Linked DNA regions of Rattus norvegicus. The protein of the gene in region 7 interacts with the protein of the main gene of each other region in a pairwise test. Links are inferred from orthologs where the notes say so. Each region holds a gene or a part of one and is shown on either strand. Other genes may lie near its edges.

The links.
Region 1: the proteins of Bhlhe40 (region 7) and Rbfox1 interact in binary tests that used the Homo sapiens proteins (3 or more experiments, as listed by UniProt). The link is inferred for Rattus norvegicus from reciprocal best matches to the Homo sapiens genes BHLHE40 and RBFOX1.
Region 2: the proteins of Bhlhe40 (region 7) and Hivep1 interact in a two-hybrid assay, tested with the Homo sapiens proteins (2 studies listed by BioGRID and IntAct). The link is inferred for Rattus norvegicus from reciprocal best matches to the Homo sapiens genes BHLHE40 and HIVEP1.
Region 3: the proteins of Bhlhe40 (region 7) and Aamp interact in a two-hybrid assay, tested with the Homo sapiens proteins (2 studies listed by BioGRID and IntAct). The link is inferred for Rattus norvegicus from reciprocal best matches to the Homo sapiens genes BHLHE40 and AAMP.
Region 4: the proteins of Bhlhe40 (region 7) and Rhobtb3 interact in binary tests that used the Homo sapiens proteins (3 or more experiments, as listed by UniProt). The two-hybrid records come from large-scale screens. The link is inferred for Rattus norvegicus from reciprocal best matches to the Homo sapiens genes BHLHE40 and RHOBTB3.
Region 5: the proteins of Bhlhe40 (region 7) and Aanat interact in binary tests that used the Homo sapiens proteins (3 or more experiments, as listed by UniProt). The two-hybrid records come from large-scale screens. The link is inferred for Rattus norvegicus from reciprocal best matches to the Homo sapiens genes BHLHE40 and AANAT.
Region 6: the proteins of Bhlhe40 (region 7) and Smyd1 interact in binary tests that used the Homo sapiens proteins (3 or more experiments, as listed by UniProt). The link is inferred for Rattus norvegicus from reciprocal best matches to the Homo sapiens genes BHLHE40 and SMYD1.

What each region holds. Positions count from the first base shown.
Region 1 is NC_086028.1:8,996,592-9,000,891, reverse strand, and holds the start of Rbfox1 (RNA binding protein fox-1 homolog 1), read left to right. Parts: upstream 1-1,500; 5' UTR 1,501-1,729; coding exon 1,730-1,816; intron 1,817-4,300. UniProt on the Homo sapiens protein: RNA-binding protein that regulates alternative splicing events by binding to 5'-UGCAUGU-3' elements. Regulates alternative splicing of tissue-specific exons and of differentially spliced exons during erythropoiesis.
Region 2 is NC_086035.1:22,792,776-22,795,196, forward strand, and holds part of Hivep1 (zinc finger protein 40), read right to left. Parts: intron 1,993-2,421; coding exon 1,487-1,992; intron 1-1,486.
Region 3 is NC_086027.1:83,315,526-83,319,460, reverse strand, and holds the start of Aamp (angio-associated migratory cell protein), read left to right. Parts: upstream 1-1,135; 5' UTR 1,136-1,630; coding exon of another isoform or gene 1,631-1,697; 5' UTR 1,698-2,144; coding exon 2,145-2,265; intron 2,266-2,458; exon of another isoform or gene 2,459-2,491; coding exon of another isoform or gene 2,492-2,594; intron 2,595-2,723; coding exon of another isoform or gene 2,724-2,726; coding exon 2,727-2,882; intron 2,883-3,575; coding exon 3,576-3,695; intron 3,696-3,935. Other genes in the region: probable hydrolase PNKD, read right to left, coding at 730-898, 1,631-1,697. UniProt on the Homo sapiens protein: Plays a role in angiogenesis and cell migration. In smooth muscle cell migration, may act through the RhoA pathway.
Region 4 is NC_086020.1:7,094,753-7,098,906, forward strand, and holds the end of Rhobtb3 (rho-related BTB domain-containing protein 3), read right to left. Parts: intron 3,221-4,154; coding exon 3,105-3,220; 3' UTR 501-3,104; downstream 1-500. UniProt on the Homo sapiens protein: Rab9-regulated ATPase required for endosome to Golgi transport. Involved in transport vesicle docking at the Golgi complex, possibly by participating in release M6PRBP1/TIP47 from vesicles to permit their efficient docking and fusion at the Golgi.
Region 5 is NC_086028.1:102,324,823-102,329,122, reverse strand, and holds the start of Aanat (serotonin N-acetyltransferase), read right to left. Parts: upstream 2,801-4,300; 5' UTR 2,747-2,800; exon of another isoform or gene 1,130-2,746; 5' UTR 1,069-1,129; coding exon 912-1,068; intron 42-911; coding exon 1-41. UniProt on the Homo sapiens protein: Controls the night/day rhythm of melatonin production in the pineal gland. Catalyzes the N-acetylation of serotonin into N-acetylserotonin, the penultimate step in the synthesis of melatonin.
Region 6 is NC_086022.1:104,760,194-104,763,233, forward strand, and holds the end of Smyd1 (histone-lysine N-methyltransferase SMYD1), read right to left. Parts: intron 2,297-3,040; coding exon 2,128-2,296; intron 1,284-2,127; coding exon 1,125-1,283; 3' UTR 501-1,124; downstream 1-500. UniProt on the Homo sapiens protein: Methylates histone H3 at 'Lys-4' (H3K4me), seems able to perform both mono-, di-, and trimethylation. Acts as a transcriptional repressor. Essential for cardiomyocyte differentiation and cardiac morphogenesis.
Region 7 is NC_086022.1:143,173,316-143,177,249, reverse strand, and holds the start of Bhlhe40 (class E basic helix-loop-helix protein 40), read right to left. Parts: upstream 2,801-3,934; 5' UTR 2,482-2,800; coding exon 2,402-2,481; intron 2,234-2,401; coding exon 2,164-2,233; intron 1,886-2,163; coding exon 1,778-1,885; intron 874-1,777; coding exon 750-873; intron 1-749. UniProt on the Homo sapiens protein: Transcriptional repressor involved in the regulation of the circadian rhythm by negatively regulating the activity of the clock genes and clock-controlled genes.

The DNA.
Region 1 (4,300 bases), on a different chromosome or scaffold from region 7:
GATTAACTCCCTCTATTGCACACTGCAAGGAGGTGACGAGATATTCTGACATTGTTACATGCCCAAATAGATCTGGAGTCTACGAGGCAAATGAAGTTGCTCGAGACGGTAGAGCTAGGAAAGGGACACCCCAGCTTTCACTTTGCATACTCCTCAACACCTTTCATCTCTGAAAGCGAGGGTGGTGGGAGGGAATTCATCTTTGTTTAATATATAGCAGATTCATGTATCACAGCTGGGACACACATGTAAAAGCCATGTGAAATCCCTTCACACATGAACACAGCACCAGCAAGTCTGCACCTACTCTGTGGCCCCCAAGATAGCTAACACATTTCTAGATCACAAGTCACAGTGCAATCCAGCAAGACAACTAGGGATTGTGTATGAGGTATTTTAAATTCAGCACTGCCTCCTACTGGCTGCAAAGTGGCTGACTAGCGTGCGTTCGGGTTCCTCATGGTTACTTGGCTTCCTGGGTCCGGGATTAGCCCCTGCTTCAGAGATGTGGAAGGACTGAGTGCAATAACCCACAAAACTAATTTACTCAGACTTCTGCTATTATTTCCTTTTAGCTATGAATTGCCTCTTCAAACTGAAATCGAGTGAAAAAAGGGGAGGAAAGTGAGTCAAATATTTTGAGACAGTTTCGTGTAGCCCAAGCTCGCCTAAAACTTGCTATACAGCTGAGCTCCCGATTTTCCTATACCCACCTCTGAGTTCCAGGACCACTGAGATTTGCTACCACATACTGATTATTCTTAGGTAATTTTTGATCAGCTGCCCACATGAACCTGCTACCTTTGAGTGGGTTTTTTGCTGTCATTTTTCTTGTTGTTGTTCTTGTTTCTTTGTTTGGTTTGGTTTTTGTACATAACTGTGGGGGGATGAGTATAAGAATGAAAATGTATGTGCAATGTCGAAGGGTGATCTCCAGGTATCTTCCTTTATTGCTTTTTACTTACGTAAAGAGAGGGTCTTTCACTGAACCACTGAATGTGGAACTTTCTGTTCGGCTATGCTGGCTCACAGGTGAGACCCAGGATCCTCCTGTCTCCGTCTTCCCAGTGCTGGGAATACACGTGTATGCCACATTGCTTGACTTCATACACGGGCATTGGAGATCCAAACTTGGGTCCTCATACATATATGATAGTCCATAAGTTTACATAACAATCAGTTGCAATTTAGAACTTAAACTTAGGCTCCGGTGATGGTTTATATAGGTAAAGATTTAAGTTTTCTAAGTTGAAATTGATTGTCCTGTAAGCTTACACATTTCTATTCATTATTCTCTCTAAAAATCTCATGTAGACCCAGCCCCTTGCAATTTGGCCCAGTTCCTCAGGACAAATGTCTTTTCTTTTTCCCTGATTCCCTGTCACTCCATCTCCCTCGGTCTGAGAACTAAATTAATGAAGAGTATTTGGTTAGTCATGTTGGGCGAGCTGCTCCCAAAATAGCTCCTTCCATTTTGGTAGCTCCGACCCTGCAGCTGCCGCGTCCCTTCCTTGTCTGTGAAGAAAACTTTCACATTAAGAGTTGCTGATGCAGGATTTTCTTTCCTTTCCCCTCTCCGCCGCCTGTGGATGAGCACTTGGCTCCTGACAGAAGCGATTTGGCTCTCGGCTTTGTAGTTGAGAAGAAGTTGGGTCTATAGATTTCTTTCCCCCTCTAACTCTCTATTGATGTGTTCAGCCTTGGAGGGAATAAAGCCTCCATTTAAAGCATGTTGGCGTCGCAAGGAGTCCTTCTGCATTCTTATGGCGTGCCTATGGTTGTGCCTGCTGCCCCCTTCTTCCCGGGACTGATGCAGGTAATTCATGGCTTTTGCCAGCAAGCAACTTAACTCCAGAGTGCTCTGAGTAATAATTGGAATTTTTATGGTTGAGAAAGCAAACACTTTTAATACAGGAAGAGAAAAAAGGCAGCCCTCGTGTAGTCAAAGGAAAGACAGTAGGAAATCAAAAAGATGGATCACCTTAATCTGGCTATTGACATCTCTCATGGATGAATAAATGGTGTAGTTGAGCTGTATTTGCTTGTATTGATCTGGGTGCTGTTTAACATTCATGCCTCTGCTTCGGGAGGTTGACCAGGGGGCAAAAGATTTGCTCTCTTCCCCAGCTTTCTGAGGGACTGGGTCTCCCAGAGCAGATCATGAGGCTCAGTAACTTATCATGTTGTGGCTTGCTTAAAGGCTTTAACCCCGGAAACCGAAGGGCAGGAACTACAGTGCTACGGAGGACACCCCACACAGGTTGTCTGTTTGCAGAGAGGCTCCCCCTTCTGAATCTGAGAGGTGACCCACAAACAAGAGAGAACATTGAGAATGGTTTCTTTAGGAAGTTCAGGGGTGACTCTGGAAACCCCATGCCAACTGTTCTCGGCAGCCAGGGAGAAGTTGGAATGCCTGTTGTTTTGACTGCTAAGGCTATTATTCTGTGTGCCGAGAGGTTCATGTGCTAGCGAGAAATTGGGACCTGTTTCTTTGCCTTATTGTACCGCCGTGCTGTCACTCAAACCCGTTGCTTCTGGGTGTATGCCTGCAGTTCTCTGGAAAGCCGACATCCACTTGTGATAGAAGTGGGTCATTGTAGGAAGCAAGTGGCTATTTGTTGCTGTTCTTTGGAAATAACCAGCCCTGGGTAATAAATTCTAAATCTCCTTTCTGTGGGAAAGGAAAATTAAATATATGCAGGACACTTTAGCTTCTGTCCTGTCGTACTACCCCTACCCAACACTCTCTGTTTGAGAGTTCTACAAGACCAATTCATTAATGACGACTTCTGCGGAGGATCCCAAACAAATATTCTTCTTGTTCTGTGACTGTGACTGTGACTGTGACTGTGACTGTGACTGTGACTGTGACTGTGACTGTGACTTTTTATTAACTGTCAGAAGCTGGGTGGTGGAATCTATCCAGCAGTTAGTCCAGACAACACCAGAACTGCCATTGACCCTGGATGTATGCTATTGCTACACTTCTATATTATAGGTAAATAGGCCAGGCAGAGAATAGTCCTGACAACAAGGAAAAGAATTTGTGGCCAGATGGTGACATGAGACTTGGGACGTGAGGGTGAAGCAGAGTTACAGTGCTTTTTGCTTCTGTTGGAAATTTGGGGTGAAGGTCAAAGGCTGGAGTTTTGTCGGCCCCTGTGCTGCCCTATCCGATAAATAATTACAAGCAAATCGCTCATTTCACTCCATGCTGATTGATGCTGAAATTGCTTTTGAAAGTTCTCATAAGTTCCTGTTATAGATTAAGTGCTGGTGCAGGAGAATAACGGTACCCACCGAAATGGGTGAATGTAATCAGGTTTAATGGACTCGAGAGCTTGTTGGGAATTAAATAACTATCGATTTGCTGGGATGTTTCTGTCATTACAAAATGCCACTCTGAACGTATTACCCCAATGATAGATGAGAAGACGCCAGAGCCAACAGAGAAGCTGGGAAGGCACTATTTCTTCCTCTTTGGCAGAATGTTCGAGAAACATAACTGGTTAGTTTGGAATGGAACAAGTTATTTTACTTGCAAATGTTAACCTGATCCATTCTCATTTGTTTCCCAAATGAAAACTTCTGAACTAGTGACCTACAAGCTCTTCTGAGTGTGTCAGTGAGGAGCCTCTGATGAGCTACTGGGACCCACTCCACTGCAAGGCTGTGCACATGGAGGTGCTAGCCGTCTTGCTGTTTGTGGAGGCCACACCACTTGACTCGAAGAAACTACAACACCTCCCATTGCAGTTCTGTTCATAAGAAAAGGATGTGGTGTGATAGAAAGGGGTAGGAAAGCCTAGCTCTCCTTTCACCTTCCACTTCCTGCCCTAGCTACCTTGGCACTTAGCCTTAGGGAGTTTCACCCAAGTCAAGAATAAAGACCCTTCTGCCAGGATTCAAATTTCTTTAGAAACTTAGTAATGTCAGCAAGACAACTAAACTACCGGGAGTGTGGACTCGTCCTTGCTACGACCCCTTGTGCTTGTATATTTGGGAACAGCATCAGTGGTTATGTGCAGGGGCCTCTGGCAAGCTGCTTGAGGTACTGTTCACAATTTTACAGTCTTCCCAAACACAACAGTCAACAGTTCTGTGGCCAAAGATATTCTGTTTTGAATTGATATCTGAGACACTTTTGAAATGTGGGCCGGCATGGCTCATTTTTTGTGCAGTTAAAGAAAAAATAATTTGCATCTTTAAGTTTTAAGAGAGCACCAGACTCATGCTGCAGTCAGTGCTTACAGATGCACATTTAGTTAGGTCCCTCTCATGGACTCTTCTTTAAAGTCAG
Region 2 (2,421 bases), on a different chromosome or scaffold from region 7:
TATTTGACAGTTGTTGGCTTGCTAAAAAAATTGCTTTGATTTTTTTAAAAAGAAATTTTCAATAACAAAAATAGCTTCATTTTAAATTTCTTTCCTATTACCAATACTAGGAAAAAAATGATATAGTGTTTTGCAATCCGCAAACCAGTTTTCTAGGCATTACTTTATACTGATAGATGAACATGACTATTTTTATGTTGATGATATTTTTTGGGCACCAGCTTCACCTCTTTCTTTTAGAGACAAGGAGACGTTGAGAAATACCATATTAATTAGCTGTGCCAACTCAACTGGGAAAAAATTAACCAAGATATTATTCACTTCTGAAATGAAGAGCTGTTACTAAGACAAAGGTCTGCAGTTGTCCATTAATTGCTAACTCATTCGTAAGCTGTCTACTGACGGCTACATTTTCAGGCATTGGTAGTTATGTGGCTTCCATATCTAAGATGCATTCGGCAGCTTAGGACACAGGTGAACACGATTTTTAAAATGCTGGGGAGGATGAATCTTACCTGTCCTCCCTTTCATCCATGACTTTTATCTACATACTGGCTTTTTCCTTGCATATACATACATTTCTATATATGTTAGGGAGCTGTATTAGTTCACATTATAATTTAATTTCTATACTTAACAGAAAAATTAAGTTTAGATTTAGTATGTAAAATTCTAAACCTTTGGGGGTTGGAGATTTAGCTTAGTGGTAGAGCGCTTGCCTAGCAAGCGCAAGGCCCTGGGTTCGGTCCCCAGCTCCGAAAAAAAGAAAAGAAAAAAAAATTCTAAACTTTTATTTTTCTCCAGTGGGAAACATCTTTTCCCATTAGGAAATAAGCCCTACCGCCTTGTTCAACACACAGGGGAAGGGAAAGAATTGTCAGAGAGAGAGAGAGACAAAATTATTTGTTGGTTAGGAGCCAGCCATGGAAAAGCATACAGTAAACTTCTCAAACTTCTCCGGAGCTGGGTGTCTGGCACTGAGCTCCCCCGGAAGGAAACTTTCCTAAGATATTCTATCAGTTTGCTCATGCAAACAACATGAAATCTTGAATCATTTTTGTGTCCCACTAAATTTGTTATGACTCCTACTAGCAAAGCACAAAATCTGGAAAATGTGCTATGAGCTCATCATATCCACATTAGTGGAAACACAAGAGTCAACCACTGGGTCCTTACGTCTCAGGATGTGGGTTTAAAACTGGTAAATACATGTTATATTGTGATTTAAAAAAACTCCACAATTAATAAAGAAGTATATTTTTTAAAGCAGCACCACAGGTTATAATATACTATGTGGAGTTTTGTCAAGATAATTTACAAGGCTTTAACAGACATAAATGAATTCTGTCATCAATTAACAACAAAAAGGTACACACTCATATGGTCATAAATGATTTTCTTTAATCTATTAGGTTTTCCTTATAGAATAAGAAGAGAAAACAAAAAACAGAGAATTCCCCACCCCTACTCCCACACACTCATCTACCTGTATTGAAGCAACAGTGTTTCCAGCTGCAGGGCTTCTCAGAGCATCAGATTCAGAGTAATGCACAGACATCTGATGGCCGGGAGACCTGGGGGTAACTTCTGGGGAGATGGGAGTGTCTACAGGAGGAGCCAGTTCAAGCTCATCTTTCCCAGTATTCTGCCTGGCCTTTGCTGTTAAGTCTGTCCTGTTAGGGTCAATCTGCACCGTGCTCAGAACAGTCATCTTGGTGAGTAATGCTCTAGGCAGAATGTCCATTGGGTCAGTGTGTACCCCTGAGAAGCAGCTGGAAACTCTAAGGTCCTCCTCTACACTCCCAGGATCCTGAAGGCCGCTTCTGGATGGGAGATGCTGTGGGCTCGCTGTGACTGACGGTGCTGCTGAGAGGCCGGACTCTGCCTGGCTATCGTCATCATCCTCTTCGTTGTCATTATCATCCTCATCTGGGCCATCAGATTCTTCAAGATCAAAGCCAGACCGCTCGCAACCGAATCTTTGCTTTTCGTCTAATATGACAACCAAAAAGATTTGTTACAGAATGTTCTACAAGTACACAAACACGATGATGTCATTTTTAGAAGCTCAGCAACACTGTCCAGCACACAGAAGATGGCCACCCACAGCACACTTCAGAAGAGTGATGCAGAAAAGCAGCCAATCAAGTGGCAGGACATGAGGGGAAGGGCCATGATGGGGTGGCAGGGAGGCACATGGAATGAGCCTTCAGAGAGGAAGACACAAGCACAGTGTGAGGTATAAAGAAAAGAAATAAAGCCTCAAGTATTATATTAGAAAAACTCTTAAATATGACAAGAACAACTGTTCTAAGCTTGTTCTCTATTTTCCTATTGTTGGGTCCAAAGGAAGCTCCCTCTTCCCAAATTCCAAAAGGCAGAGGGACAAATGGCTATCTGTGGCGCCTCTTAGCATGTCAC
Region 3 (3,935 bases), on a different chromosome or scaffold from region 7:
TCTCTGCATATACTGTCTTGTGTCCCTTGCCAGACCTCTCTATTTTTCTTTACGGTGCTGCAAATCGAACTTAGGGCTTCAAAGATGTTAAGCATGTGCACAACCACTAAGGTACGTCAACCAACTCTCAATCAGAGTAACTACTACTAAAAGAGGGCCTTGGCAAGTGCCAAAGAACAGGAAGCCACAAGAGCTGGTGACAATTGCAGCTGGGAGCCTCAGTTCCCTGCTTGGCAAGATGAAAGTGCAATGTTTACCTCAGAAAGCTTAAAACATTATATGGCACAGTACTGTCATACCTCAGACATTTGCTGGAAAAAATGTTAATTTCCCTTCCTTTTACTTTAGTGATTGATAATCAGTAATATGTATTAAAACCAGAATCAGAACCACAGAACTCACAGAAACGATTCTAGCTTCTATACAACACAATCTGACACTATTTTAATTACTGGGATTGGAATGTTACCCCTGCTCCCAAAGGGAAGGATGAATCCAACGACTCCAAATCAGATCAGCTCAATTTGCTCCAAAGAAAAGCCACTGTCCCCCAATTTTACATATTATTCCACCCTCACCTCACCCCATTCTTCTGAGATTCCATCCCTTGAATCCAGCAATTTCCTTCCCTTGGATTCAGCTCTGCCCTTGCAACTTGGAGAAGTTTCTAGGTTCCAACACCTTTCAGTACACTCCCCACTGGTAGGCAAAGGGGCAGTTAAAACTCACCAGGCTAGTCCCACAGCTTTCATGGGGTTCTTGCCCCTCTTTCTGGGAATGTATTCTAGCTCAGGGGAGAGGGGCTCAGGCTCCTCCTTGCATTCTGGTGAGCTGTGGCTCTGCAGTGCTCTGGTCCTGTTCTGGGAAGCCTTGTTAGCTGTCGCTCCAGAGAGGATCCCTGTGAATAAAAGTACCGCAGGTCAGTATGGGGGATGAGGGAGGGTTAGAGGGGCTGAGATTTGAGGAAGGGGAGTGACTGCAGTTTGGAGTAATAAGTGCTGTGAAGAATCTAAAGAGAAATGGGAAAATCGCCATCGGGTGACACCTTTGGAAGCTACTTCCACGTCACTGCGGACTCCTCACCCTGGTGCCAAGGCAGTGAGCTTCGCTGCTGTTCTACTCAGAAGACAGGTTGGGAAGGACTGCAGAGGAACTCACCGGAGACATACGAATGAAGGAAATTCGGGGAACTGTTTTAAAACTGCAGGACCTTAGCTATCCTAAAGGATAACTAACTCCATCCCGTTGAAGAGGAAGCTGAAGCCCGGAGAGACGAGCTGCTTCGCACAAGGTCAAACCGCTAATTACTCAGTGCTAGAACTCAAACCTCCAGAAGCCTAGGGCTCTTTCCTCTGCACTGCGGTGAGTGTGAAACCCCTGGGACGCGGGAGTCGAAAGATGTCTCTGGTACTCTCTCTAGCAATAAGACCCTAGACATGCCGCGCGACCTAAACGCAGGGGTTGGACTGGATGACCTCTAGAGCATCTTTTCACCCCCAGACTCTCTTAAGATCATAAAGAGAGATGTGGGCAGCAATTGGCAGCCTGACTTCCTGCTGTCGCGCTGGGTAGGATGTAAGGGAAACGGAATCTTTTAAAACCCTGCCCTCCCCAGGGTCCCTCTCCTTACCCCGGAGGACGCGGGCATTTCTCGCCCCCCGGCCCTTCAGCGCCGTAGCAGCTACCACCGCCGCCATGTTCGGGTCCCACCCCCCTTCACTGCGCTCCCCGTCGGGAATTGTAGTTTGCGTAAGGGGCCTCCCCCGCGCCTTCCGTCCTGCCTACAGAGTCGAAACTACATTTCCCAGAAGTCCGCATAGCGGGCCCGGGAGAACTACTCCTCCCAGGAGACGCCGGAGGCGCGCACGCTCGCTTGTTTCCCTCCAGCCGGGGGCGGAGTCGTGTAGGGTGGAGCTTGGACTCTCCCGCCACGCCCCGGCCTGGTCATCCTAGTTCTGCCTTATGATTGGCGTCTCTGTTAGTCCACCTCTGTTGCTATTGGCCCGGATGCCGTCGCTCTTTCGGCTGGGAGTCACCTACGCCTACTTCCTCCCGGGAGGAGGGGCTCGAGTTCCGCGTCGTCGCGCAGAGCTGACTCTGGGAGGCGTTTGGGCCCAGAGAAGTGGATCGGTAGGTTTCGCCGCATGGAGTCCGAATCGGAGAGCGGAGCGGCCGCTGACACCCCGCCTCTGGAGACTCTGAGCTTTCACGGAGATGAAGAGATCATTGAGGTGGTAGAGCTGGATCCAGGCCCGCCGGACCCGGGTGAGAACTGACGCTCCTGAGGCCACGGGACAGGAGGCACTCACCCCTGGCCTCTGACCCCTGCTTCTCCCCAGTTCCCCCTCCCCCCATCCCTACCGGTCGTTCCTACCGACATTTCTCTCCCAGACCTCCTTCCCTACCCCCCACATTTAGTTTCTAGGCCTGGCTGGGTGGGGGTTCCCTGACGCCTCCCCTGGCCCTTCCCCTCACACACCCCCTTCCCATCATGCCCTCTGTCCTCTCTTCCTACACGGTCGCTGGCCAACACCGGGTCTTCAGACCTAGCCTCTCTCTCCCTCCCCGCCCCCCAAGTGCTCTCTTCCTGCTCGGTACGTGTGGGACAACACCTTAACCCTTGGCCACATGACCCACCCTAGCGTCACCTTTTTCATTCTTCAACCCTTACCCCATTCCTTCTCTATCTTTTCGAGCTCCATCTTTTAACGCTTCTCCCAAAGCAGATGATCTGGCCCAGGAGATGGAAGACGTGGACTTTGAGGAAGAGGAGGAAGAAGAAGAGGGCAATGACGAGGGCTGGGTCCTGGAACCCCAAGAAGGGGTGGTCGGTAGCATGGAAGGCCCCGATGACAGTGAGGTCACCTTTGCATTGCACTCAGGTAGGCCTTTGAAGGGATCACCTCAGATCAGTGCAGATGGGCCTTTGAGTATGGCCCATGGCCCTAGGGAGGTTATTATGAGAGACAAAAGTGAAAGCCACCTACTTTGGCCTGCAGGATATTCAAAGGAAGGGCCAAAAAGGCACTGGAGTTAAGTGAGACCCCTGAGTTCAAATCCTACCTCTGCTGTTTAGCAGTCTGTTACCTTAGTTAGCTTTCTGAATCTTGGTGTTCTTTAAAAAAAAAAAAAAAAGTTATCTTGGATGAAAGTGAATGGGAGTAACCCAAGTGGAAATTAAAGGCAGTTTACACTCGAAAAGAAGCATTACCAATAACCTCAGATGCTAGCCTCGTGAATTGTAGCCTCGTGAATTGCTCATAACTTAATTCCTACTCAGCCTGGTATGGCCTGTGCTGTCAGCTGTGACCATAGAGCCACCTCTTGGCTTGCACCTCAGAGTGCAGACTGAGGGGAACAGAACAGCAGTGGGATATGCTCTGGAGGAGGACTTGGAGCTTTGTGGGCTTGGGAAAGATTTCTCTTAACAGTCTGATGCTCCAGACAAGAACTGGATGCAGCCTTCCCAGGAGAGAATAACTGTGGCTTTGGGGAAAGGGAATGTGCTTCCTGAAGGTTCTGAAAGGCCGAACTCTAGGTGAGAGCCCTTTCTCATGGACTGTGTCTTGGGACAGCATCTGTGTTTTGTGTGAGCCTGGACCCCAAAACCAACACCTTGGCAGTGACGGGGGGTGAAGACGACAAAGCCTTTGTGTGGAGGCTCAGCGACGGGGAGCTCCTCTTTGAGTGTGCAGGTGAGAGGCTGGGGTTGTTGTGTTCCTTTGGACATCTTGGCGGGTGACTCATGTGAACACCCAGCAGCTGTTTTCTAGCCTCTGTCTTGTACTGGGTCCAGGGACCCGCAGTAGAAGTTTGGTAGGCATTCGGACAGGAAACGCTAATGGGCCAAGGGAGGCTGGCTAAGATGAGCACGGTGCTGGTGCAGGAGTAGGCAGCGGCCCAGAGAAAACAGGCTCTGGTTGCTTCATAGGGAG
Region 4 (4,154 bases), on a different chromosome or scaffold from region 7:
CTGGGGGATTATTTTATCCCTTACACAGGTATGAAAAGTAACATCATCTCCTTATCTCATCTTACTTATATGAGGCATCTACAATACTAGCAATACTCAGGATTTTATACATAAGGGAAACTGTTTATAAAATGCAATTGTGCTTGAGAAACTTAATATCCCAAAATCATTTCAGCAACAAACATTCAGAGTGAAAGAATTAACACTCCATTGAACTTGTTTTTTTTAAAAAAATGGTTTATTTGTTATAAAAGGTTAAATACTAAAGCTAAAAACATATAAATTCAGGTCAGGCTATATTAAAATACATACATACCCTTTGCAAAATCTGATTAAAAGTTGCAGTAAACAGATGCTTTAAATAAAATACAGTAATTTTTGAAGACATTTTAAATCGAATTGGCTATATCAGTGTAGTATCATTTGTAAAATTACAGTTAAAAAGTTTGGCCAGTTTGGAAATCCATCTTATTTCTCCGCCTTCCACTACTCAATATGAAGCTCCATTCTGGCTTGCACAGGGGTGGGTTTCAGCTACTAGGCCAATGTTCTGTTAGAAATCTAGTCCTCTGCAGAAGGAACAGGGATGTGGTCAACAGCATACAAGGAATGCACAACAAGATGCAAGCCCAGACTAGAAGTAGCCTTAGTTCAACTACATAGTATCCTTTCTAAGTAAAATGCTTGGCCAATAGAAGCAAGAAATTGCAACAAGCATATCACTGTCTAGAAATAACCTTTGATTGGGAAACAACCCTTACAACCAGCAGTAATTTACACAAGATCATTTATAAAGATTCAAAATCTCCTATTACTTCCAACTGAGTGGATTGGAATTGTTGAGTAACAATACCGAGGCCTTTGTATTCAAACATTTAAGAATTCATCTATATTCTGACTCATGGCTGTCTCAGTCACACTTTATGTTTAACATGCAAGACTACCAGTTCCAAACTCAACTCCTACTCAGGAAAAACACCCTAGTAAAATTAGTTATGATCCACCTAAATGTTAAAATAATATTTCCAAGAAAATGTTTTTTTCTCAGCTCCTATTTTTCATGTCAATATCATAAAATTTTAGAATTTTAAATGTCATTAGTACAGAGGGTGAACATAATTACTTTAGAGTATCAAAGGCCACCACTGATCTGAAAAAGCAGAGGAACTTCTGGCATCAGCTGTTCTTTCTAATGCTAAGCCACCAAATGGGATTTGCCAATGTTGATTCACTCAAGTGATTAAAATATAAAGGACAAAATTCATTTCAGTAATCTTCATTGACACAGCAAAATTAAAATAAGCTCTCTTGGGATTCTTTCCCCTTTATTCTGATAGTTTGGTATGTATAATAGGGCTTTCTGTATGGAATCCTAACACTACAGGATAAGATTATTGAATCAAATTTTTGAAAAGTTTGAAAAATATGCATACTAAAAATCACTAGAAATTAGAAAAATATATCCCATGACCATGATATTAACAAAAAAGAGTAATATGTTTTTCCATGCCGTTGAGCATCTTGCAGAATCATTTCTGCAAATATATGCTATGAGTGATACTAACTCTGCCTTCAATCCCAGACACCATTGTCTCTACATCGACAAAAAAGGATGTCTTTGATTTACATCCTTTTTTACCTTCCCAGGTGGCTTTGCTACTTCATACCAAATAGTCTATCAGTCCTTGAAAAGAACTCAATTCATGCAATTGGCATCTTATTCTTAACAGTTAAAAGAAAGGATATTTAAGTTTTTAGGCCCAAGTCTTTAGAAGACATCTTTTCCTGTGGCTTATCACTCTGTGTATTATAGTCAGGTTACTCTATCAGTCTTAACAACTTCCTGACTTTACATATTGATCAAGAAAGTATTTGCTTTTCTGGGGTACAGCTATAACTGGGGGAGTGTTTCAAAACCAACAAAAAGCATTTCAGCATTTCTTATTGCCAGGAAAGATCTTTGTGGAGGCGCATGGGCATATGTCCTTTCCCAAAGATGGGAGTCTCCACTCTGCTCTTCTGGCCAAAAGCTACTGTCCTTTCCTGGCTATCAGCAACGTTTCTGCTTCCATAGAGAGAAGGTTTGAGCAAGAAAAAAAAAACATTTTAAGCTAGGCATGGTGGCACACATCCTTTATCCCAGCAGAACTTTGTGAATTTGAGGCCAGCCTGGTCTATAAAGCAAGTTCCAGAACAGCTAGGGATGTTACACAGAGAAACCCCCTCTGAAAAAACAAAACAAAACAAACAAAAAATGAAAACAAAAAACAAAACAAAGCAAACAAAAAATGAAAAAACAAAACAAAACAAAACAAAAACAAAAACAAAAACAAAAAAAAAGGAAAAGAAAACAGTATCTCAGCATTTTTTTCTTGTTAGGAAATACACACAATTTTGGGGAACCGGTGCAAAGTGAAAACATGGGCCCTTCATCAAACATTTTTAAGAATTTAACAACTGTACTAGCAGAGCACTAAACCAAATGCCAGACCCTTCTAAGTTTGGAAGTCGATAAACTCTAGAAGGTTACACAGAGATAACTACCAGCCTACTTAGGTTTGCAGCCTGATTGACAAGCAGATGTGGGTGGATGGTACAGATGGGGCTATCATATTGATCCAAATACTCTTAATGGACTGGAAGCCAGATGACACATGACTATCAAAGACATGGGCAAATTTCTATTTCTACAATTTCATGCTGCACTGGTTAGAGCTCCTCTGAATTCCATGGTTCCGCTTGGCTTTTAAATGCTCCTTATTTTAGCAGAGCAATCACTCAGACATGATGAAATTTTTGTATTTATCCTAGATTTTTTAAATTAAATATCTTTTAACTAGGAGAGGTCTTGATGTTATTAAAGCAATAGGGAAACTTAAAGGAGACCCAATGTCCAACAGTTTTATATTCTAGATGAAGCATTAATTAAGTCTGTGGTAGCTTTTGTTCCCTTTTAAGACCACCATAGTCTTTAAAAGGTAACTAGTAAGAAGCTATATAGTGATTTTTAAAAAACATTGATTTTAGTTATAAGAATTTTACTGGAATCCAGAAGTACCCATTCTTCATAATAATAAAAAAGTGTAAGTATGCAAAAGCTCAGGTCACATGACTAAACAGCGACATTTCCGGGAGTGGATATATTTCCTGTATTCTGCCAGCTGCTTCAAGTACATGTTTGATGGCCATCTGTGCTTTTCAACAAAACTTCGTTCTTCCACTAAAGTTTTAAGAGAAAAAAAGTTAATTGCATATACTTTATTTTTTGACAAGATGAAATACCAACAATTAATTTCCTTTATGACAGAGGATCTCAGTCTCTTATATTCTGAGTCCTTCCTGTAGCCTTCCATAATCATGTAATAGAATATCAGTAAAATATCATCAGGATTTATGCTATTACACAATTTACATTGACATACTCTTCCACCAAGTAGCATTTGACTGCTATCCTTTTCTTTTCCAATAAAATTTCTGCTTTTACTTTAGATAACAAATTCATTTTTCTTTGTGGAGAACTCTACCATTCACACTAACGTCTGCTGACTCTAGTTCCCATTCAGTCATAGCCACCAGCCAATCTATTCATTCTTGGTGTTACTTCCTGTGCTCCAGAGTTTACTACAAGGTAACTTGGTGTTACTTCCCATGCATGCTCCAGTAACTTGGTGTTACTTGCTGTGCTCCAGAGTCTGCCACACTGTAACTTAGTGTGTGTTATTTCCTATGCTCCAGACTCTGCCACACAGTAACTTGGTGTGTGTTATTTCCTATGCTCCAGAGTCTGCCACACTGTAACTTGGTGTGTGTTATTTCCTATGCTCCAGAGTCTGCCACACTGTAACTTGGTGTGTGTTATTTCCTATGCTCCAGAATCTGCCACACTGTAACTTGGTGTGCGTTGCTTCCTGTGTTCCAGAGTCTGCCACACTGTAACTTGGTGTTGCTTTCTGTGCTCCAGAGTCTGCTACACTATAATGCTCCAATCAGCAACACTGTAACTTCCAGGCTTGCTCCTCCTGTCTCTCCTTAGGCTGGCTGTACACTCTGGACCCACTTTCATAGGAACCGGGGTTTCAGCCCAGGCCCTCAGCTCAAGCTTAGCTCCATCAGAGTCTGTGAATCTATGACTGGATTTGACTTTTCTAGTTTCC
Region 5 (4,300 bases), on a different chromosome or scaffold from region 7:
ATCCAAGTGGAGGGGGCAGGTACCCGAGACTGAGATAAAGGCTGCAGCAGAAGGAAAGGATGAATGGCTGCTTGCTGTGTGCTTGTCTGTTGTTTGTGCACACACGTGGTCACTCAGCTCATCCCCGCCCCGCCCATCTAGAAAGACGTGTGACTCTGGGCTGTTGCTTCCTACTCTAGAGCACACCTCCCTCCCACTTCTCTCCTCACACACGCTCCGTGTGCATGCGAGCGAGCGTGCGTGCGTGCGTGCGTGCGTGTGTCTGTGTGTGTGTGTTTGTGTGTGTGTATCTGTGTGTGTATCTGTGTATCTGTGTGTGTATCTGTGTATCTGTGTGTGTATCTGTGTATGTGTGTATGTGTATCTGTGTATGTATCTGTGTGTGTGTATATGTATCCGTGTGTGTGTTATCTGTGTGTGTGTTTGTGTGTGTATCTGTGTGTGTGTATCTGTGTGTGTATATATCTCTGTGTGTATCTGTGTGTGTGTATATCTCTGTGTGTGTATCTATGTGTGTGTATCTCTGTGTGTGTGTATCTGTGTGTGTATATCTCTGTGTGTGTATCTGTGTATATCTCTGTGTGTGTGTCTGTGTGTGTATCTGTGTGTGTATATGTATCTCTGTGTGTGTCTCTGTGTATCTGTGTGTGTATGTATATGTGTATTTATGTGTGTGTATCTGTGTGTGTATATGTGTGTGTATCTGTGTGTGTGTATCTGTGTGTGTTTCTGTGTGTGCATCTCTGTGTGTGTGTATCTGTGTGTGTGCATCTCTATGTGTGTATATGTGTGTGTGTATCTGTGTGTGTGTGAGAGAGACAGACAGACAGACAGACAGAGCTCAAATTTGACTCCTTGGGAAGCCTGGGAAGATGACACTGGCTCAGAGCACCCGCCCAACCGCCACTCACCTTCGCGCTCAATCTCAAACGCACTGGTGGCATCCTCCGGCGTGAGGCAGCGGAACTCACTGGCAGGGAGTGTGTGGCGCCGCTGGCAGCCTAGGAACTCTGAGGTCCCAAGAGGCAGATGCAGGGCCTCAGGTTTCAGGGGGTGGATGCTCAACATGGGTATCTGGCCACTGACCCCTCCCTGGGGTTCCCCAGCTTTGGAAGTGGTCCCTTAGCACCTGTCAGAGAAGAGAGAGAGAGAGAGTCTGGCCTCCATTGCAAGAATGCATGTCAGGCGTCTCTTGGGGTAGAGCCAGTCCCCAGGTGCCTGGACCTCAAGGCCAATTACAGGAGCTTGAGACGTTCGCATGATTTCCTCGCTGTCACTCATGGGCTAGAAGTCCCTTCAAGCAACTGGTCAAAGCTCCAGACTCTACGTGTCCTCCAGCCTTGGGAGACTGTGGGCACCATAACCACATGTGTGCATCATACCCCAAGACCGCAGTAGAGCAAGGAGCATGAACCTGTAGCCTCTTCTTCTGAGTCTGTGGGGTGGGCAGGCTCCCAGCTCCCCGTCCCCACCAACCCCGCCACACCACCAGTCATGCAGCTACTGCCAGCTCTGCGACTTGCCTCACCCAGAGGGAGACGTCTTGTCTTCTGAGTGAGACAGTATGGCCAAGAGTTTTTGTCCAGTTTTTGTTTTTTGAAGGAAATGTATGTGCCTGTGTAGCTGTGTGTAGCTGCGTGCACGAGCCTCCAGAGCCCAGAGGCGATGCATCTCCTGGAGCTGGAGCTCCAGGTGGTTGTGAGCTCCCCAGTATGGCTGCTGGGAACTGAGCTCAGGTCAGAAGCGGAACTCAGACACGCTGTTAATCTCTGGGCCATCTATGCTCCCCCAGGCTGAGAGCTTTTTACATTGTCTCAGACCAGGAGAAAAAGCTCTTTAATTAATGTGAGCCCTGACGTCAGACTAGGTCATGCTGTGGAGATGGGGGAATAAGACGGTTAAAGAGCCTAAGGCTGGAGAGTCTGAGGTCAGGAGGCTCAGGTTTGGAGGACACTCAGGGCGACATGCCTGTCCCGTCAGCTTAGGCACATAGAACGTGGCAGTGCAATAGCCTCTTTCTTAGGACACCCTAAAAAGCGGTGATCCTTAGAGTATGTCTTCCATCCCTCAGCCTTCAAAAGGGGCTGAGGAGTTCAGGTGAGGCCGCTCAGCAAGTAAAGCGACTTTCCACCAAGCCTGAGAACCTGAGTTTGATCCCAGGGACCCACATGATAAAAGGAGAGAACAGACTCCCACAGCAGTCCTCTGGCTTCCACATGTGTGCACCGCACGTGCACATAAAGTGACTGGAAAGGAATCTTTTTAAATGGGCGATGGCGATGGCTCAAGCACAAGGACCTAAGCAGGAGCCTCAGAACGTGAAAAAACCAGCTCCCATCACCCAGCATCTGTGTCCTGGCACCTGAGACACAGGGTTGGGCAAATCCCTGGGACTTGCTGGCCCCCCTAGCCAACCCAGCCCACTTAGTGAGCTTCAGACCAGTGAGAGACCTTGCCCCAAGAGATGAAGTAGACAGTTCCTGCAGTTCCCAGAGAATGACACCCAAAGCTAACCTCTGGCCTCCACTCACACACACACACACACACACACACACACACACACATACATAAACACATATACACACATACATATATACACTAACATACACATATAAACATGCACACATACACATGTGCATACACATACATATATACACAAATACATGCATACACACATACATACATACATACATACATACATACATACATACATACATACATAGAGCCAGGGATGGGGTCCACTTACCAGAACTGTAAGAAGGAGTCCAGGTGTCCCCACCACAGAGCTGGTCACACTGGGGCTGTTACTGGGTGCAGGAATGAGGAGAACCTGAGACTCCTGCCTGCGAGGAAGCTGTAGCCCGCATTCCCCCTGACAGCATGTGATGGCTCAGAGATTCTAATCCCCCTGGCCCTGCCTCCCATGTTACCCCAGGCAGTATGATGCCAGCAGGGCTTGGTAGTCAGGCCCTGACCCAATCCTGCTGAGGGCTGGCGTCATCGGTGGTACTGAGGACGTAGGAAGAATTACAAGTAGCCATCTCAGGCTATAGGGAGAGCATGGGCTAAGCCTGGGGTCTAACTATAATCCCTGCTCTGTCTCCAGCTGGCTGAGGACCAGTCACCACCTTCTGTTCCTCAGAGGTCAGTTTGCCCATGCCTCTGAGGGTCCTTCCTGGTCAGGAAACCTATAACTTACAGCCACATACCTAGGGAGGCAGCTTCTACAACCCGCAGGGTACCTGTCAGGTGAGTGCAGCTGTCCATTTTACAGAGGAGGAAACTGAGGCTCTGCTCCATTACTTGAGGGACCCCAGTCAGGTACCAGGAGAACAGGAAGGTCTCTAGAAACAGTTTTCACAGTCTCCAGAGCAGAAAAACCTCAATACCATCAACCAAAGAGAGAACTATGGGTCTATATAAAATGTCACCGTAGGTGTTTGGGGGTGGGGTGCATCATGCAGCCCCCAGAAGGAGACCAACACAGCGGTGACAGGAGCTGAGAAACACATGTGGTTTCTAGTTCAACATCCAGTCCAGATGTTAGGACCCGGCTGCTGGATGCCCAGGTGAAGGCCTCAGGGACACTGGCAAGGTAACTAACTATTCAGTCGGACAGTGCTAACTCATGCAGTCGTCTCCATGTATGTTATGCTCAACGGGGCTCCAACCATGCCAGCCCTGGGGCCTTCAGCACCTGCAATCTCTCTGTCCCTCACGCACTTCTGTTTTTCCCCTTTCCTTCCCACTCACACCTCATCCTGCCTCCCTCAGCTCTTCCGGTCAGCTCATCTTACCATATGCTTCCCTGCTCCACTCGACACGGTGTGGCTCTTTGAATTAGCTGTCCTTGCCAGCTCAAGGCACTGAGCCAGGAGGAGCATTCCCTGAAGCCGCCAGCAGAGGGTGCACCTGCTACGACCAATGATCTCAGAGAGGTGCAGTTCCAACTCTGATCCTTGGAGGATCAGGGCCGGTACACACACACACACACACACACACACACACACACACACACACACACACACACACACACACAGAGAGAGAGAGAGAGAGAGAGAGAGAGAGAGAGAGAGAGAGAGAGAGAGAGAGAGTCGCTATCTGTGGGGTCCTGCTCCCCTTAACTGCATGCTCCCTGGACACTTTCATTTTTCCTCTGCAGGAGCCCCTTAATGGACTGCTCATGGATGATCAAAAAGCCAGCCCTTGGGCCTGGGGGGGGCACACTGAGAATCTCAGCTAGGCACCCCATACTGCCAACATCCAGAGTTTGCCAAGATTGTCCCTCCCTTGTCACCGG
Region 6 (3,040 bases), about 38 Mb from region 7:
CTTCTACTAAAGGAATTTACTTCATGGTCTCCCTCCATGTTGGTGAGAAAGTTGGAATTCCAGAAACTAAAAGGCCATTCTGGGACCTTCATCTCTCAGTCAGAAGTCAGCCTCTAAGCAAAGGAGAACAAACTGGTCACACTTATGATGAGTTCCTAGGTCGTGTGGACTGCCTTCTCCTAAGGGCAGAAGCCCCCAGAGCACAGACAGGATAAAGGCATCAAGCAGAGGAACTGTCATTCACTCGATATGATGGGTAGAGCCTCATCAGGCCAATGATGAAGCCTAGGCTGAGGCAGACTGCTGAGTATCAAAACCCCTACACACTGCTTCTGAGGGTCCGTCATTGCCAGGCACACACACCGTCAGCTTTACCCTGAAAAGCCTTCCCTACTCCTACAAGTCAATGGCCAGGAAAACCTCAGCTTTCCTTCAACATCACAAGGAGATACAGACTTGGTGGGTAGGACCAGGAAGGGAAAAATTCCTTCTCTGTGTGTTCTAGAGTTATTCTAAAAGTATGCTTCAACTTGGATTAGGAAATTAAGACCACAGGATCCCAAGATCCCTACCTCTTTCTAGGCACCATTGAGTAGATCTCAAAGGGCCAAGAACAGTCCCAGCCTCAGGATACAGGTCATCATCACCCATCCCAGTCTGCAGAACCCTAAATGTTCGTAACTGTAGATGAAACCAGCAGCCCCAGAGACCCCTGCACAAAGAAACAAGCAGCCACCTGAGATTCTAGGTACCTGCCACTCTTAGCTCAGGTGTTTTACACACACACACACACACACACACACACACACACACACACTCACTCACACACACTCACTCACTCACACACACTCACCTCCTCTGAACCCCTCTCCATAGAGTGCACCGTGGCATTTACTATTATGCTGTACCTTGTTTGTTTACATTTTTCTTTCTAGCCGAAGTATATTTGGGGCTTCCTTGTTAAATAGACGGTGGAATCTAGCACCCGACACATAGAGAAAGAGTTGGTCTGAAATGAGAGAGAACTAAGCTGAGTTGAATTGAACCAAAATGGCGGTGGGGGACACAGAGTAGTAATTTCCTCAGCTCCGCAGCCACAATGCCCCCACCCTCCAACAAGGTCCTCATTGCTTCTTATGGAACAGAGCTGGGGCTGGCTCGTTGCTGGGCTCAGCCATGACCTGCATGGGCTGGTTGTTCAGGGCAGCCTCTCGCATTTTGTGGTACATGAATTCATTTTGGCGGAACATACGCAGCTCCATCTCTGTCTGCATCCGCATGGCCTGTGGGACACAGATAGATACAGCACTGATAAAAAGAAGTTCCCAAGACACAGTTATGAGGGATCTTTGGATAAATGACCCCCTGGTCAGTAAAATTCAACTCTATCCCTTCAGAAACGTGTGTGTGTGTGTGTGTGTGTGTGTGTGTGTGTGTGTGTGTGTGTGTGTGCGCGAGCATGTGTGCGTGTACGCATGCACACTATTATGAGCAGATGGTGTAGCAGTATGGCTAGCATCATAGAGAGAGGAAGCTGGACGCATGAAACAGTAGCCAAAGGGTTGATTTCAGCAGAAAGTGCTTCTTCTCACTATTAGCTGGGTACCTGGATCTGAATCCTGGATTCTAAACTCTCTGGTTGTAGGATGTCAACAAAGTGACTTGACCCCTTCAGCCCCCTGTTTCACCATCCAAGAGATGGCAAGATTTCTCTGTACCTTACAGCAGGTTGGGAAGATTATAGTGTACAACATGCAATGTAGTCCTTGTTGTCCCACATATCCATTCTGGGAATATTCAGAAAAAGTTAGGTGTTCAGAGGCCCAGGAAACTGTGGTAAGACTGACAGAGACTCTGCCATTGACAAGCTTAATATACTAGATATAAAATTAGCCAACTCTGACCTTACCATCAAACCACCAGATGGCTATAAACAGAGAACTACCCTCTATGGGGCTTCTGTTTCTTCATATTAATCAAGGGGGTGGGCTAAAGCATTCTAAGTTTCTTTCTGGTCTAGTAGTAGTCTACAGACTTCCACAAGGCAAAGTCCAGATGAACCAGGCCTCCCATCTTAAGAAATCTTCTAACAAGACAGTGACTGCCCACCTCCAGGATGCTACTTACCTCTAAGTCTTTGGTGATAGGGTGGGAGGGTCCATGGGTCACCAGGAGAATAGCATAGGCTTTGCAGATCATCCCGTGCCCTACTTCAATGTGACCAGCATGCCAGTTGGTCAGCCCTGCCCGCATCACAGCCATGCCCAGTTGGGCATTGTTATGGTGGTAGAGTTTCCTGCAGAGGCACAGAAAGTAATCCTGACTCATTATCCCAACCGTCCTCACATCTGTAGAACACAGGATAACTCCTAACATACTCTGGTGGTTACCATTGTCACCTTGACATAATCTAGCATCACTTGGGATAAGAGTCTCAGTTGAGGCTATATGTATGTTTGGGGTGACTGTCTTGAGGGCCTGTGGATAGCACCATCCCATGAGCTGAGGATCCTGTATCTTGTATGAGTGGAGAGGACAAAGTGAGGGCAAGCTTGCTTACATTCATTCATTCCTGTGGGTGTGCTGTGACTTCAGCTTCCCAGCAATGATTGGACTGTAACCTGGAATTGTAAGCTAAAGTAAATCCTTTCCCTTCTAAACTGCTTCTCTCTGGGTATTCTGTCACAGCAGACAGACATGACACCAAAGCCAGTACTCTTATGCATCAAGTCTGTCTAGACTTCCCACTAGTGATGTAAGGCACCAGCAGCTTGCCATGGGGTATTGAAATACATAGAGCTGACTAATGTTCTACACAGTGAGGTCAGGAGAGTTGGGAATCTGACCTGGACCACCAAGTCAATGCTTCATGGACAGAGAGGGCCACAGGTGTACTCTGAGCCAGGTACCATCTGGAGCACCTCCAGTTCTCTGGGGAACATGAAAGGAAGCTGGGAAATATAACTTTAATGTCCTTCTTGGGGCTGCACTATATTTTCTTTTCCTAGAAGGGCTCCTTCCTAGCATGCTGACAGAGTAC
Region 7 (3,934 bases):
ATCAACTTTCTATTTTTAGTAGGAAAACTGGCAGGCATGCTGGCTCGGTTTGGTTTTTGTTTGTGATTCTTGTACTAGCCTTGGACGGAACAGAAGAATGCCTGAGGGGTAGGTGTTAGGATTCCCCCTGGTCTGTACTGTATGATCTAGAAGGGAGAAGGGGGAGGTTAGAAGGTGCCCCTGATTCTCTGAAACTCAGGATAAATGAATGATGAAACCAGTGGTTTCATTGGATTGTGCAATTTGCCAAGATACCTAGTGGCTATTCAGGGAACCACAATGAAATGCAGGCAAGAAAAAAAAAAAAAAAAAAAAAAAAAGCCTGCTGTCATCCTGCCAAGACTGCATCCCACATCCAAAGACAAGGAAGCAAAGGGACAGGAAAACACTAGGGGCAGACCCGTGTTCTGCTCACCCATGAATGAGGGCTCAGCAGACCAACTGTAAAAACACCCACAATGCAAATTATCGATGCCTTGGCATTTTAAAGGGGGATGGGGAAGTCTCCCAGAACCGAGACACTCTCGGGCCAAAATGTCACAGGAACATTTCATCACTGGGCTAATAAGTACTCATTCCAGGTGGTGCACAGCAGCATTCCGTATGGGAAAGTATGACCTTTTAGGAAAGAATCAGAAAAGCATCTCCCCCAGTGAATGTGCAAAGGAGATGGTAGCTCAGAGTCAGGAGCCACAGCCAGCCCTCCGGGCTCGATCTGTGCTGAGACACTAATCAGGCCAGGCACTCACCAGCTTGTAAACCGCTCTGCAGGGCCATGATTTTCTGCTGCTGCTGATCAATTAGGTTTGTCAATGCTTTCACGTGCTTCAGCGTCAGCTCGAGAACCACTGCTTTCTCCAAGTGACCCAAAGTCTGAGGAAACAAAAAAAAGGGAGCTTCCGTCACCTGTGAGGTCAGTGAAGTCCCTTCTGACACACACTATTTGTTATGAGAATTGGGTGTAGACAACGAGATAGGAAGAGCTTTTCCTGCCCCACTAAATTTAAAGTTTGCAGATGTGTTAACATATCCATATAACGATCAAAGGCTTAAAAAAAGTCAAACATGTGTTGCCTATCTTTGGAGGCATTTTGGTAGCTGTTACAGTCTCGGGAGTGAGCTGACAGATATATTTCTCCAGCAGCTGCCCTGACCTTAACTCAGGGGACTCCGGAGATAACATTTCCCTGCTGTGGTGTCAACTCAGGGAGGGATGTCTACTGTGTCTGGCAACCAAACGGCTTTCCCAGTGTGCTGAATTTTTTTTTTACACATCCCCCCCCCCCCCAAACACCCGTTCAGGACTTCCAGTCATGCAGGCTTTTCGTCTTCCTTTCCAAACACTTTTCCCGAAGGAAAATCCAGAAAGCTTTCGGTTACCAGTAAAGATGATGATGAAAAGAAAAGGCACACATTAAATAAAGTAGGTCCTCTCGTGGATGGTAAGAGGACAAGGAGAAGGGCATAATTTTTTAATCTCACGGTTTGTTCCTTTTAAGTTAAGGGAGACTACGAGGTGGTGAGAAAGAAAAAAAAATACCAAAAGGAAGCTGTGCTAGTGTTGGAGCCAACTTAAAGAGGCCCCAGATGGTTCTGGTTCTGCCTCTGCCTGGAAGTCCTGGGTCTGGGTCTGGGTTCCCTCCAAACCAGAACTACTAGGAGCTTTGATCCGCCCGTCTAGCCTGCAGTTCCCGTTGACGCCTGCAGGCGGCGGGTGACCCCCACCCGCCCTCTGGGCAGAAGAACTGGGTTGGAGCGCAGCCAGGTTCTCACTTACAGTAAGTTTGAGATGTTCGGGTAGGAGATCCTTCAGCTGGGCAATGCACTCGTTAATCCGGTCACGTCTCTTTTTCTCAATCAACCGGTGCGGCAATTTGTAAGTTTCCTGCAAGGAATAAATGGAAGCAGTGGGTGCCTGAGAAAGGGAACACGAAGCTTCCTCCCTTCCTCCCCACCCAGCACCAGAGGGAAAAAAATTCTGCGAGGGCGCAGAGACGCACCGAGGATCACCTTCTCTGCCCCTTCTTTCCCAAGTCACTCACTTGTGACAATAAGCTCATCACATCCCGAAACCCCCAGCCAACCTTCAAACAAGCAAACTTTTCCTTGGAAACTCAGCGCACGCGAGAGGCTAAGGAACGGGGTCCCCAGGGATGCACCTACCTTGCTGTCCTCGCTCCGTTTTATTCCCCGCCTGGACTTGTACACTTGGTACATGTGGGCAAAATCCATCCTGCAGGGAGAAAGGCCAGAAAGAGCCGTGACTCCCAAGTGCGTACTGGCTGCAGAAGTCCTACAGATGCAAGAAGCCCCCTATATGCCCAGAGATGCCCCAAGTTGAGAGTGGTATGGAAGACACGGTGAGGAGCGGAGACTTGAAGGGATCACAGCGCACACTTACCCTGACAGGTCTCCGTGCTCCAGCCCTGGCGTTTTGGGCAGGCAGGTAGGAGGTGGTTGCGCGCTGGGGATCCGCTCCATGATGCGGCGAGCAGGGGCCACTGTGCGCTCCTGTCTGCACTTAGCAGAGAGTCTGAGAGAGGACTGCCCTGGAAGGGAGGATCCGAGGGTCTCAAGGGGTATGTTCCTATGAGCTAGCCTGAGCTTCTTGCAATGCGCTGGGCTGCCAGGAGCTGCGGCTTTGAGGTGTCGCTTCAGTTGGGGGCGTGCATGACCGGGTGTCCCCCACGGCTTCTGGCTCCCGCTCTGCACACAGACTGGCGGTGTGTGCTCGCTGCGCTGTCTGCGCCGTGCGAGCCAAGTGAATGAGAAGTGGGGCGGGTGGAGAGGCGGGAGGGAAAGGGGGGGTTGCTTAGGGCGGAGCGGGGGGGGGGGCGGTGGTTGCTGGAGGGGACGAGCCGAGGAGTAAGGAGAGGCTGCGGGCTGGGTTAAATGGGAGCGAGTGGGTGGGTAGAAGCTACGTGTTCTACCCTGTGACTCCAAGCACGTCTGGCCGCTGCCGGGGAGGGAAGGAGCGACCTGCCCGCCCTCCCCCGGCTTCATCACATGAGTCTCACGTGTTGGACAACGCTCTGGCGGCTGCAAAGTGCCCCCCCTCCCCGCCGCCCCAAACCTCGGGCCCCAGGTGTCTGCGGCTGCGGCCTCCTTTCCCCGAAAGAGGGGGTGGCAGCGCAGCCAGAGTCCTGCCCAGCTGGGTGGGGGGCACGGAAGCTGGAAGGAACTGGGGAGCTGGGGGGCGGGGGGAAGAGTTGGTAACGTGGGCGAACCTGCCCCAGGGAAATGAAGTAAGTTCCCGTCTCCTGGGAGGGAACGGGGGAGGACGGATTCCGCCCGCGTCTGACTCAAGCCGGGAGAGGAATATCCCCTTGGTCGCTCCAGCCCAGCCCTCTTCCTCCTCCCCCGCCTGGCCCGCTCCTAGGAACCGGTGCGCAGCGGAGGGAGTTGTCGGCCCCCCTTGGCCTTCCCCAGAGGCTGGGGTTTCTTTCCGTCCTGGCTTCCCAGCCCCCCAACGCTCAGCCTCAGTGTCCAGGAATTGCCCGCCTTGGGGAGGGACCGAGGGCGGGGCGGATGTCACCCCATGGGAAGCGGGCTGGTGGCCAGGCGCTAGGGCAGCCGAGGCCGCCGCCGAGCACGCCGAGCGCACCTGACCGTGGACCGTGTGAGCCGTGCGGACCCTCCCCTCCCCCAACTCTCCCGGGAGCTCAGCTCCCGGGCGCAGCCTGCGGGTGGCCTGGCACCCGACTGGCGCGCACCCATCTCCTCCCGCCTTCCAGGGTGCCTCACTGCCCCCACCCACCCTGGCTAGTCAAGCACAGAAAGATACCGGGCACGGTGCCCGGCGTTCCCTCCCTCCTCTGCCCCCTCCGATGCAGAGGCGTCCGGGTCGCCTCCCCTCCGGCTGCAGAGTTACACAACCGCGGCGACGGCGCCTGCCCTGCAGCAGCGCGGGGCGTGACGCTTCACGTGGCCCAGA